3 linked regions of the Arabidopsis thaliana genome follow. The protein of the gene in region 1 interacts with the protein of each later gene in a pairwise test. Each region holds a gene or a part of one and is shown in the gene's direction. Other genes may lie near its edges. The genes, in order: AT4G37180, NAC097 and AT5G01380.

Region 1 (3,760 bases):
TTACAAACAAAGTCGAGACGTTTCAGTTCCTCCTTGAAAGAAAAAAACGATTCTCATGATAAAGAATCTGGATTAGTTGGACACGTGTCCTGGTATAGTTGGCTAACAGTGAGCCGTTTCTTTTGGTCCGTCCGTTAGATTCCTTGTGGTCTTTATTGTTTATAGGTCCTAGGCATTTTACATGCTACTGTGTTTCGGAATATCTTTTTGTTAGAGGAATCAAATGTTATTTTGAAAAAATTGAATGCTATTTTAAAATTGAAAGAAATTTGTATTTGGCTAGCAGGAAAAAGCATGGAATAAAGTAGCTTTGCGTACTGGGATCTTTTACATTGGATTATGCGAAAGATCCTTTTTTCTCATTTTGCTAGAGAATTCTTGAGTTTTATTTCATATAATAATATTAAGTATAATTCACCTTTTGAACGATATAAGTTTTGATTAGTAAAAAAAATGGATGAGTAGTGGAATAATTTGCAAGAAATAATGGTGCTACATAAGAATGATCAACCTAGTTTCTTGAAAAGAATATCAACACTGAAATGAACAAAAATATTCATAATACGATAACCAAAACCAACTAAACCATGAAAAGGGCACTTATAAACACAAAGGTTACGTGATTTCTTGAAACTAATGCTCACCGTGAATGTAAATGGACGTTGCGTGTGGTAAAAATAAAGAAAAGACAAAGAGATCTTTTGACCACTTCACTCTTTTAAAATCACATACGTATGTGTCGATTTCTAATACAGCTAGTAGCTTGTGTTAGCAAAATTTAGTATAATTTTTTTCCGGGTAAAATGTTTAGTATAATTTTTTAGTAAAATTTAGCAAAATTTAGTATAATTTTTCTATTCGAAAAGATAAACTAAAGCGAATATGTCCTATACTAGTAAAGATTAATTATTTATACGGCTCTACTAATTTAGTCTAGTTATATGATAGTAGTACAAACTGAAGTACGAATTTATGTATCGTACTACTTGCATAAACGTACATGTGGTTTTGCCTATCTAAGAACATCGTTTAATTAAACCCGATTGTATAGTTTGAATGTTTTATCGGTTTTTAAACGAGTGGTTCGAATTCCATGAAACCGAGATTTCAGTATAGCTCTGTGTTTGAGATACAATAACAAATACATGAATCCATAGCCCATAGGCCATACACGGTTATGCCCATTCGGTATTGTTGGTCTAGCAAAGTTATTTCTGACGATGTGCTACATGTACTATGTGGTACATACCTTTTTTATATTCAACATTTAATCTCATATCATGTTGACTATAAATGTATAACTTTCAAGCTCATAACATTTAGGTTATAAAAAGTCAATATTTGTTGTAGTCTAAATCTTCTTTATTTCAAACGTAATTTTTTACTCCAAAAAAGTGTAACTTATCTACTTTTAATTGTTAAAGTAGGAAAATAAAATTTGATTTTTCTTTAAAAAAGTAGAAAATTGTTAATTTTGTACAAATAAATTTGATCTTTCTTAGTTATAGTTTGATTTTGTTAATTCCTTATTTTTAATTTTTTATCCAATAATTGAGTTGCTTTATTTTATTTTTAGTCTTTCAACAGATTCTTTTTATATTATCTTTAATAAATATTTTAGTGGGATATTTCACAGCCTGAACCACTCCATATGCAGAAAATAGTGTTTGTAAAATATTATAGATTCTTCAGAATCCTCTTTTTAAGACTAATTTGGGAAAATATTAAATACAGGATAACAGGAATATGAGAATCTTGAATGAGAAGAGCACTAAAAACAAAATAAATAACAAGTTTCCCAAAACTGAAAATTGTAATATAATTAATAGCCGAATTAAAAGGAAAAAAATCCTTAAAGAAAAATATAAAAAAAGAGAAGAATAAATATATATAAGTGAGTGTAACGATTCGCCGCGTGTGTACGGGCATCACAAAAAGATTCTTTCTTCCATTTAAAGATAAATCTAATTTTAATATTGACAAAAACACCCTCAAGTCTCCACTTATTTACAGCGGCTACGGTTCACCGCGTCCTTCTTCTTCTTCCCTAATCTCATTTTTTTTTTGTTCTCATTTATCTTCTTCAGCATCTTCATCATCTTCTTCTATATATACCTCTTTAAGCTTGCTTCTCTTTGTCTTTATCTTGTCCGATGGTTCAAACAGAAACCGATCAAAGGATGGGTCTTAATCTGAATTTGTCTATCTACTCTTTACCAAAACCCTTATCTCAATTTCTCGATGAAGTGTCGAGGATCAAAGACAATCATTCCAAACTGTCTGAAATCGATGGTTATGTCGGAAAATTAGAGGAAGAAAGGAACAAAATCGATGTTTTTAAACGAGAACTCCCTTTATGCATGCTCTTATTGAACGAAGGTATCTTTTATTAAAATTCTCTCCTTTTCTTTTTTTTATCTTCTCTAATCGATTCGTGTTTTTGTTTAAAGAGATTGTTTTTCTCTGTGTAGCGATTGGGGCGTTGAAGGATGAGGCTAGAAAAGGGTTATCACTGATGGCATCTAATGGGAAATTCGATGATGTTGAAAGGGCAAAACCGGAAACTGATAAGAAGAGCTGGATGAGCTCTGCCCAGTTATGGATCTCGAACCCTAATTCCCAATTCCGATCGGTACGATCAAAAAGCAACCCTTTTTATGTTTTGTGAAGAATCATATGTTGTGTGATTGATCTTGTTGACCTTATGATCATGTTTTGACAGACAAATGAAGAAGAAGAAGATCGGTGTGTGAGTCAGAACCCATTTCAGACATGTAATTACCCTAATCAAGGAGGGGTATTTATGCCATTTAACCGTCCCCCACCTCCTCCACCACCAGCTCCTCTGTCTCTCATGACTCCAACATCAGAGATGATGATGGATTATAGCAGAATTGAGCAGAGTCATCATCATCATCAATTCAATAAACCTTCTTCACAGAGTCATCACATTCAGAAGAAAGAGCAGAGAAGGAGATGGTCACAGGAACTTCACCGTAAATTTGTTGATGCTCTTCATAGGCTTGGAGGGCCACAAGGTTAGTCCTTAACCTTAGTAAAGGATCAAACTTTGCTTTAGATTTGATTGATTGATTATACTGAGATTGTTTTGTATTGTTGTTGTTGTTGTTGTTGTTGTTGTTGTGAGACAGTTGCTACACCAAAGCAGATTAGAGATTTGATGAAAGTTGATGGTTTAACCAATGATGAAGTCAAGAGCCATTTACAAGTAAAAGTTCTCATCTTTTACAGTAACTTAAACTTTGATGTGTGGATGAATGAATGATTTTGACAGTGCGGTGAAATGAAATTGTTATTGCAGAAATATAGAATGCATATCCGTAAGCATCCGCTGCATCCGACAAAGACTTTGTCATCGTCGGATCAGCCAGGTGTGTTAGAGAGAGAATCGCAGAGCTTAATAAGTTTGTCGAGGTCGGATTCGCCACAAAGCCCACTTGTTGCAAGAGGGTTGTTCAGTAGTAATGTTGGTCATAGCTCAGAGGAAGATGAGGAGGAGGAGGATGAAGAGGAGGAGAAGTCTGATGGACGTAGTAGCTGTAGAAATGATGAAACAAAGAAGAAGAGACAAGTGTTGGATCTTGAGCTTTGAAAGTCTGCATAGTGAATGATATAATCTTTACCAACTTATGTTATATATGCTCAAAACTTTGAGTTTGTTCGGGAGTTTTTGTAGATGTAAACATGAGAGTTGAAATAAGGAAGAGGATTTTGAGCAAAAAGTAGGGTTTGTTTTTGC
Region 2 (3,713 bases), on another chromosome or scaffold:
GGTATTCAAAAAAAAAAAAAAAAAGGAAAGAAAAGTAACTTACTTGACTAACTTAGTATGCTTTGGTAAACCCATTCAATTAGAACTAGATTCAAAGACATTATTTTAAAACTATTTTCTTTTTGCATTGGAGAACCAATCAAAAAATTACGTTCAAGTGTATGTATGGTTAAAAAGAATAATTGAACATGAAGATGGTGCTTGTACCATATCAATATCAACCATCAATTGACAACACTAAGTTATAAAGAAATGAAACTTTTCATTTATGTATGTCGTTGCTTAAGAAATGTCGCTAAATCATCAAAATCTAAAGTAAAAAGAAGATTGAAAACAAACAAATAAAGGAAATGGAAAGCCAACATCTTCGAGGTGAAGAAAAGTACCAAATCCAAAATGCTGCGTGGGAGGAGTAAGACATATGATTCTAAATTGACAAATTTAAAGCTTTTTCTATATCCTTTATGAATATAAAACAAATAGAGCTTTGCCTACTTTCAACACATGAAAATTATATAGAGAAATTTTGGACTAGAATTAAAGCTAGATGTTAACAATTTAAAATATTTATCAAATATAAGCTAGTCATGTTGCATTCGAATTAAGATTCAGCAAAAGAAAGCTGATGAATACTCTCTTCCAAGTTCCAACCAATTAAACTAATCTCGATTCCTTAACAATGAAACAATCATCTTTAATCCATTTCATTTTCTTTTCTTAGTCTTTCGAAAGACAAATTATGTAACCTTTATTTCTAGTGTATAAAACATAACATTATACAAAGAGGACTAAACCTAAAATGCTATTTGTAAAAATCAAAGGCTGATGCTGGAAAGTTGAAGCAAAAAATTGGAACAACTTTGGTTTGGTGGGGGCTTTGGGAGCTTTATTGATCCAAGGAAAAAAAGGAAGGATAAAAGGCAAGTCACCAGTCCAAAGACACACATATATACAATAATTTATCTAAAATAATTGAAATTAAAGAAGTGCATGAGAGTAGAAAATTGAGTCAGACCAACATCTAATAACTTACTCGTTAAGTCAGCTTCTCAAATCTTTAAGTTGGGATCGACTTGGACTCTCTTTCAAATTCACTTTTGTTTTCTGAATATACTTTCTTATATTTTTCTTATTTCTTAATCATTGCTTATGCATATTTACTTAAATTTATTGTTTTAAAAATGTATTGTATCCCGACATTATTATTTCACTTGCCAAATGATAAAGACAAAGAAAATTTTGATTCCTCGATGATATAAGTTTTCCTTTTCCACGTATAAATTTATACCAAGAAATGATTTTACTACAAAATTATAGGTTGAACGTACGTCCAAAACTTTCGCTTATTTATGTACATTCATATCTATAATTCGTATATCATTCCGACATTACTATAAGAAAAAAAAAGGGTCGCATGGATATTTTTACATGGATGATATATACACTAGTCCCTAAACATGTGTAAGGTCCCTAACATAAAGGTTTGTTTTCTTTTTCGGTGTGAAAACATTTCAGATTTGGAATAAACACTGTGGTAATTTTTCGGGTTTAAATCCACTCTAAACACTTACGTGTATTTTTACCTGGGCTAACCGATCGGCTTATGAAAAATAAAATTTCAAATGCATGTTAAAATTAGTTCTGGGCCAATTGTTAGAAATGTGCTCGTTTTAGTTATTGATGTTGAATGTACTTATATGGTAATGAATCAGCGTGGATCTAGGCTTTTGGAACTTAAATCTTGTTTATTTCGTTTTGGTTGAAAAAATAAATAATTACCTTTGCCCAGGAAAACGAAAAAGGAACTAGATTATCTTTACCAAAAAAATAAAGATATTTTTGAATACTCGCTATATTCAAAACCTTAACAACGTTGACTGCATGGGTACATGCACCACAATTTGTTATGATGATCCTCGCATTTAAATAAACAAAAATGAAACCAATCTACGATCTCTGAATTTGCAGTTATCAATTTTTTTTTATCTATTTATCTCTTGAAATTAATAGTAGTACGTAAAAAGTATCTAAAGGAAAAGCAGAATCCGCTTTTGCCAAACTAAAGGTGACACACTCATAAGTATATATAAACAACCTAAACCAAACACAAAGGATACTCATAAGAAAGCAATGGACATTTCTGCGCAGAGATTTGCCATGAACGGAAGAAGCATGAGACTCCCTCCCGGGTTTCGGTTCGATCCCGATGATGAAGATCTTGTGTTCGAGTATCTCGCCAAGAAGGTCCTCCACCGTCCAATGGACTTCGATCTCCCTGAGCTCCGTTCTTGCAATGTTGATCCATGGGACTTGCTAGGTTTGCTACAAACTCTTCTCTCTAATAATTACTATACCATATCACGTCAAATGTATTGAAAAATGTGGTTTAGTGAATGTTGTACGTACACTTTTGTTGTAGGAGAGAAGAACAAGGAAGTGTATTACTTCGTGAAGAAGGAAGAGCGAGAGAGGAAGGGAAGAGAGACGTTATCCGGTTATTGGGAAGAGTGTGAAGAAGAGGAAGTAATGGAGGCTGGTGGTCGTGATTGTATTCATTTAGAAGGAAGGAGAAAGACATTTGCTTTCTTTATTGGAAAAAAACCTCGAGGGACAATAACTCCATGGATCATGTACGAGTTCCGACTTCTTTCCTCTAGAGCTACAAGGTGGTCATCGTCCCCTCTACCTCGGGTGAGTCACTCATTGGACTTTTATCTTTTTCTATAACATATATTTTTGTTGTAAGTAATAGTTTAGAGCTAACTATATCAATGTTTTGGGTTTTAAAGGGTGAGGTAGGAAAATGGAGGGCGGTGAAAGTCGTAGTGAAGGAAGAGAATGATGAAGAGATGGTGGAGGATGAGCACGAGTCTGACGAGTCTGATGGCGAGGAAGTTATTCAAAGCCGGTGACGACCGAGGTTGATGCCATAAATATATGTACTTGGTTTTGTGGTGAATCGTTTGAATTTAGTTACTATTGTTAGGATATTAGGGAACATCTAAATGAAATATATATGCATGATTTGTCTTATTGTCTTCCAAGCCCTTTGGAATGGAATGGAATGTAATTGAGGATGTGGTGAAAGATGCCACAAGTTGCTTTCACTCTCCCGTTTTATTTTGTTCTTGTCCAATTATATATATATATATATTATTAGTGGTCCGTTAGACCAATCCATCCAACATCACATGAGGAGGTCTTCCCACAATATAAATACAACTAGATTTTAATCCGCGATATACCGCGGGACGATTTATTTTTTAAAAGTAATATATATTAAAATTTGCAAATTTTATTTTTATAAAATATTTATATTTTACAGTTTATAATTATTATTAAGTAACGCTATACCACGAATCCATGAGACAATTTTTAAAAAACTGAAGTTGTAACCCCTATTAAAACAGCATATTAATAATATTTTAAAATTTTATAAATATTGATTCAAATACATCCACCATATAATCCAATTCCAAAATAAAACCTGTTGTATAATTTCTTTACCCGTCCCGTGATTTTTTTTTAAAAAAGTAATTTTTAAAATTTAAGAATTATTTTTATATATAAAAGTTTTGCAAATTATATCATTCTCTAATACATTTATATTTTATAGTTTAATTTTATATATAGTAACATTATACATACTACATAATATTTTCGGTTTTATATAATCTTTTCTAAATTAGGATGATTTGATATGTTTAATATTA
Region 3 (3,760 bases), on another chromosome or scaffold:
GCGATACCCTAAACAACATTCACCTCAAAAGTTCTAAATAACACGAATAGGCTGATTTTTGTATATATGCTTTTGGCTGACGTTTTTTTTTTGTTCTTTGCTTTAAGACTTCAATTCTTTTAAGCAAAAATTTGGATGGGAAATAAAAAGGATGATGAGGTGGCCTACTTGTATTGAGCGGATAAACATCAGCCAACAAAAATCTTTGTTAAAATAAAAAGTGAAAGACAGAGAGAGAGATGGCCACGTGGACAAACATGGTGGGCGTTTACACGTGGAATATAACAACACTCCGCGTTGCTGATTATTTGATTCCATTTAAATAAAATTAAAAAATACTGATTATTCTTTCTTTTGTTCACAGAAAATTCCTTCATTCACAATTTCTCTTTTAAATAATTAAAGACCACAAATTTTGAACATAAGAATTAGAAAAATTAAAGATCATTCACTAGAGTAGTCGACATTATTATTAATTTAGTATAAATAAATAAGGTGTGAATCCACGTGGGATGACAGGTGGGAGCGAAGTCTAGTGCATGTCATGTAAGATTTTGATTTACTTTCAACACGCTTCATCGCTATTTGGACCACTTCGCTGACTTTTTTTTGTTTTTTTTTTTACTACTGAGTAGTACTAGTATTTCTTACACATATCAGAGCCAAAAATACAACCCCGACGAATCTTTCTTTAGATACAAATAAAAAATATTTACTCCTACAAGTTTCATTCACCGTACGTTTTACTTGTTATATCATTGCAATGACGCGGCTTCTAAATATGTACTACCATATGTGTGTTTGGGAATCTGACAGTTGTATATTGCACTGGATCCAAACCATTTCAGAACAAGAGTACATTTTCTCTGTTCGTACGCATTATTTGTTTTGTGCCGACTGCGAATATAACGATTTCCATTTATTCATATACTAAATATCATACAATCCATAAATGAATAGTCTTCTTTTTTTCTTGGGGGAATTTACAATTCCAATCAAATTAATTTCTTAGCTAATCATAACGGTAGTCTTGTTTTCTGTAACTTAATTCTTCTTCTTTTTTATTTTGATAGGAACGTTAGGTATCTATTATGTAAAACTTGCTAACAACAATTCTCTAATTCTTTGTTTATATCTGATCTCTTCCTCCATGACACGGGGCTAATCTAAACTTCTAAAAGCATATTGATCCAATAGCTTATTTAATATATTTTGTCTGTCAACCATTAGGTTACTTTTGTTACGATGAATTTTTCAAAAGAAAAATACAAGAATTATGGGATGAGGAAAATCTAGTGGGTCAATTGACCATAAAGGCTAAATCGGATTGAAGAATAAAAATCGGATTGTGACTCGTAACTCGTAAGCGTGACGAAATATTAACGCAACATTTATATGTATTGGGACAAATTATTAACGAATAACTACCAAATGCAAAAAATACGAGACAGTTGAGTACTTGAGCTTGGTCACAAAATCATCATCAAGGAAAAACAATAACCATACAGTAAAAATATAGTTCTACAACTTTACAAATTTGAAAGCGTGTTTAGAATGATGCACACAAATAATCAATCTGTCAAAAAAAAACATATTGTTTGATTTTACTCTAAGATTAAGGCGATTGTTTTTACTTAAGATATTCTTAACTGATGCAAGTTACCCCTGTAATTGTTTGAGATTGCTATTTTTAAACTCTAGAATACGAAGAAAAAAAAAGTATGAATTATTTAGTTAGCTGCTTTAAATCTAGAGTTTATCATCCGAAAAAGGGATATCTAAGCTTTATTATTTTTAATGTAATCACGAATTGTGTCCTTTTCACCAAAAGAGTCATTCGTGTTCGTATTTTATTCAACTAAATAATTCTATAAGTTCTAGTATATTCAATAATTATTAAAAAATCTCATCTTAATAATTTTAATTAGAGAAAAGAACAAAAAACTACACTTCTATCGTCCCTCTACGATTTCACACCTTCTTTTCACACATCCTTATAAATTAATTAGATTCTTCTCTTTTCTCTCCTTCCTCTCTGTCTTCTCTTCTTTTTTTCAATGAAACCTCTCTTCATTTATAAGTAACCCAACAAAAAAATAAAATTATCTCCCTCTTATTTCTTCTCTTCACGTCACAAAGACAATTCGATTCCAAATAATGGACCGACGTAACCCTTTCCAACATCACCACCACCACCATCAGCTTCATCATCACTTGATCCAACAGCAACAGCTTCCTCCGCCGCCGCTGAGCACCACGGCGACGATGGATCCCGGCGGAGGAGGAGGAGGTGGGGAGAGAATCCCACAGTGGAGCATAGAGGAGACAAAGGAGCTTTTGGCTATAAGAGAAGAACTTGATCAAACTTTCATGGAGACCAAACGTAATAAGCTTCTTTGGGAAGTCGTGGCTGCTAAGATGGCCGACAAGGGTTTTGTCCGAAGCGCAGAACAATGTAAGAGCAAGTGGAAGAACCTCGTCACTAGATACAAGGTTACCCTTCAACTCTTTAGAATCCTATTGATGATTCTCTCTATATATAGTCCCGATATATACACCTATAAATGTTTAGTATGATCATGATTACAAGTATATACAAACTATAATTATGTGTATCATGTATTTCATCACTAGTTTGTGTGGTTAGACTGATATTATGCATATTGAAATGGAAACCTAGTTTATGGTGTATGTATAGGTGAACTACATTATATATACATCAATTAATGAGCTTAACCTAATCGCCTAGGTTTTTTAGATATTGTCCTGTCATTAATGGTAACGAGCTATAGAATAGAATTTTACGCGTTTATTGGTGAGCTTTCATCATGATATTGTCTATGTTCACATTTTGATCCGTTATACCATAATATCTCTCTTTTTGTTCGTTGATCACATGGTAAGTAAGTAACACAATATGCCATAAAAATATAATTACCGTTATATAACGGGTGCATAAGATTTAATAAGAACCGTTACTGATGAACACATGAAGATAGTTGAAAAAGTCTATACACACATTTATTTAAGGTAAAAGAAACGTGATATAGATGATGAACATGTGTTTTTGTTTTCCTATGATATATGATTTCGAGTTAAGATACTTGGTTAGCTAAAATATTTTGCGTCGGTACTATTACGTGTTTACATATAATTGTTTATATAACATAATGAATATTCATGGGACAGGCGTGTGAGACCACTGAGCCAGATGCTATTAGGCAGCAGTTCCCATTCTACAATGAGATTCAGTCGATTTTTGAAGCAAGAATGCAAAGAATGCTGTGGTCAGAAGCCACAGAACCAAGCACTTCCTCGAAGAGAAAACATCATCAATTTTCATCTGATGATGAAGAAGAAGAAGTTGACGAACCAAATCAAGATATCAACGAGGAATTATTGTCTTTAGTAGAGACACAGAAAAGAGAGACAGAAGTGATTACTACTAGTACTTCGACCAATCCAAGAAAACGTGCAAAAAAAGGAAAAGGCGTTGCGAGTGGTACGAAAGCTGAAACTGCGGGTAATACACTAAAAGATATATTGGAGGAGTTTATGAGGCAAACGGTGAAGATGGAAAAGGAATGGAGAGATGCATGGGAGATGAAGGAGATAGAGAGGGAGAAGAGAGAGAAAGAGTGGCGGAGGAGAATGGCGGAGCTAGAGGAGGAAAGAGCCGCCACAGAAAGGAGGTGGATGGAGAGAGAGGAAGAGAGACGGTTGAGAGAAGAAGCTAGGGCTCAGAAGAGAGATTCTCTCA

Evidence for each region.
Region 2: the proteins of AT4G37180 (region 1) and NAC097 interact in a two-hybrid assay, tested with the Arabidopsis thaliana proteins (one large-scale study listed by BioGRID).
Region 3: the proteins of AT4G37180 (region 1) and AT5G01380 interact in a two-hybrid assay, tested with the Arabidopsis thaliana proteins (one large-scale study listed by BioGRID).

Annotation. Positions count from the first base shown.
Region 1 is NC_003075.7:17,502,495-17,506,254, forward strand, and holds the start of AT4G37180 (Homeodomain-like superfamily protein), read left to right. Parts: upstream 1-2,069; 5' UTR 2,070-2,153; coding exon 2,154-2,379; intron 2,380-2,450; coding exon 2,451-2,632; intron 2,633-2,722; coding exon 2,723-3,038; intron 3,039-3,152; coding exon 3,153-3,229; coding exon of another isoform or gene 3,230-3,286; exon of another isoform or gene 3,287-3,322; coding exon 3,323-3,613; 3' UTR 3,614-3,760.
Region 2 is NC_003076.8:20,677,095-20,680,807, forward strand, and holds NAC097 (NAC domain containing protein 97), read left to right. Parts: upstream 1-2,127; 5' UTR 2,128-2,130; coding exon 2,131-2,317; intron 2,318-2,343; exon of another isoform or gene 2,344-2,379; coding exon of another isoform or gene 2,380-2,419; coding exon 2,420-2,691; intron 2,692-2,789; coding exon 2,790-2,912; 3' UTR 2,913-3,180; downstream 3,181-3,713.
Region 3 is NC_003076.8:155,849-159,608, reverse strand, and holds the start of AT5G01380 (Homeodomain-like superfamily protein), read left to right. Parts: upstream 1-2,007; 5' UTR 2,008-2,157; coding exon 2,158-2,493; intron 2,494-3,189; coding exon 3,190-3,760. UniProt on the Arabidopsis thaliana protein: Probable transcription factor that binds specifically to the core DNA sequence 5'-GTTAC-3'.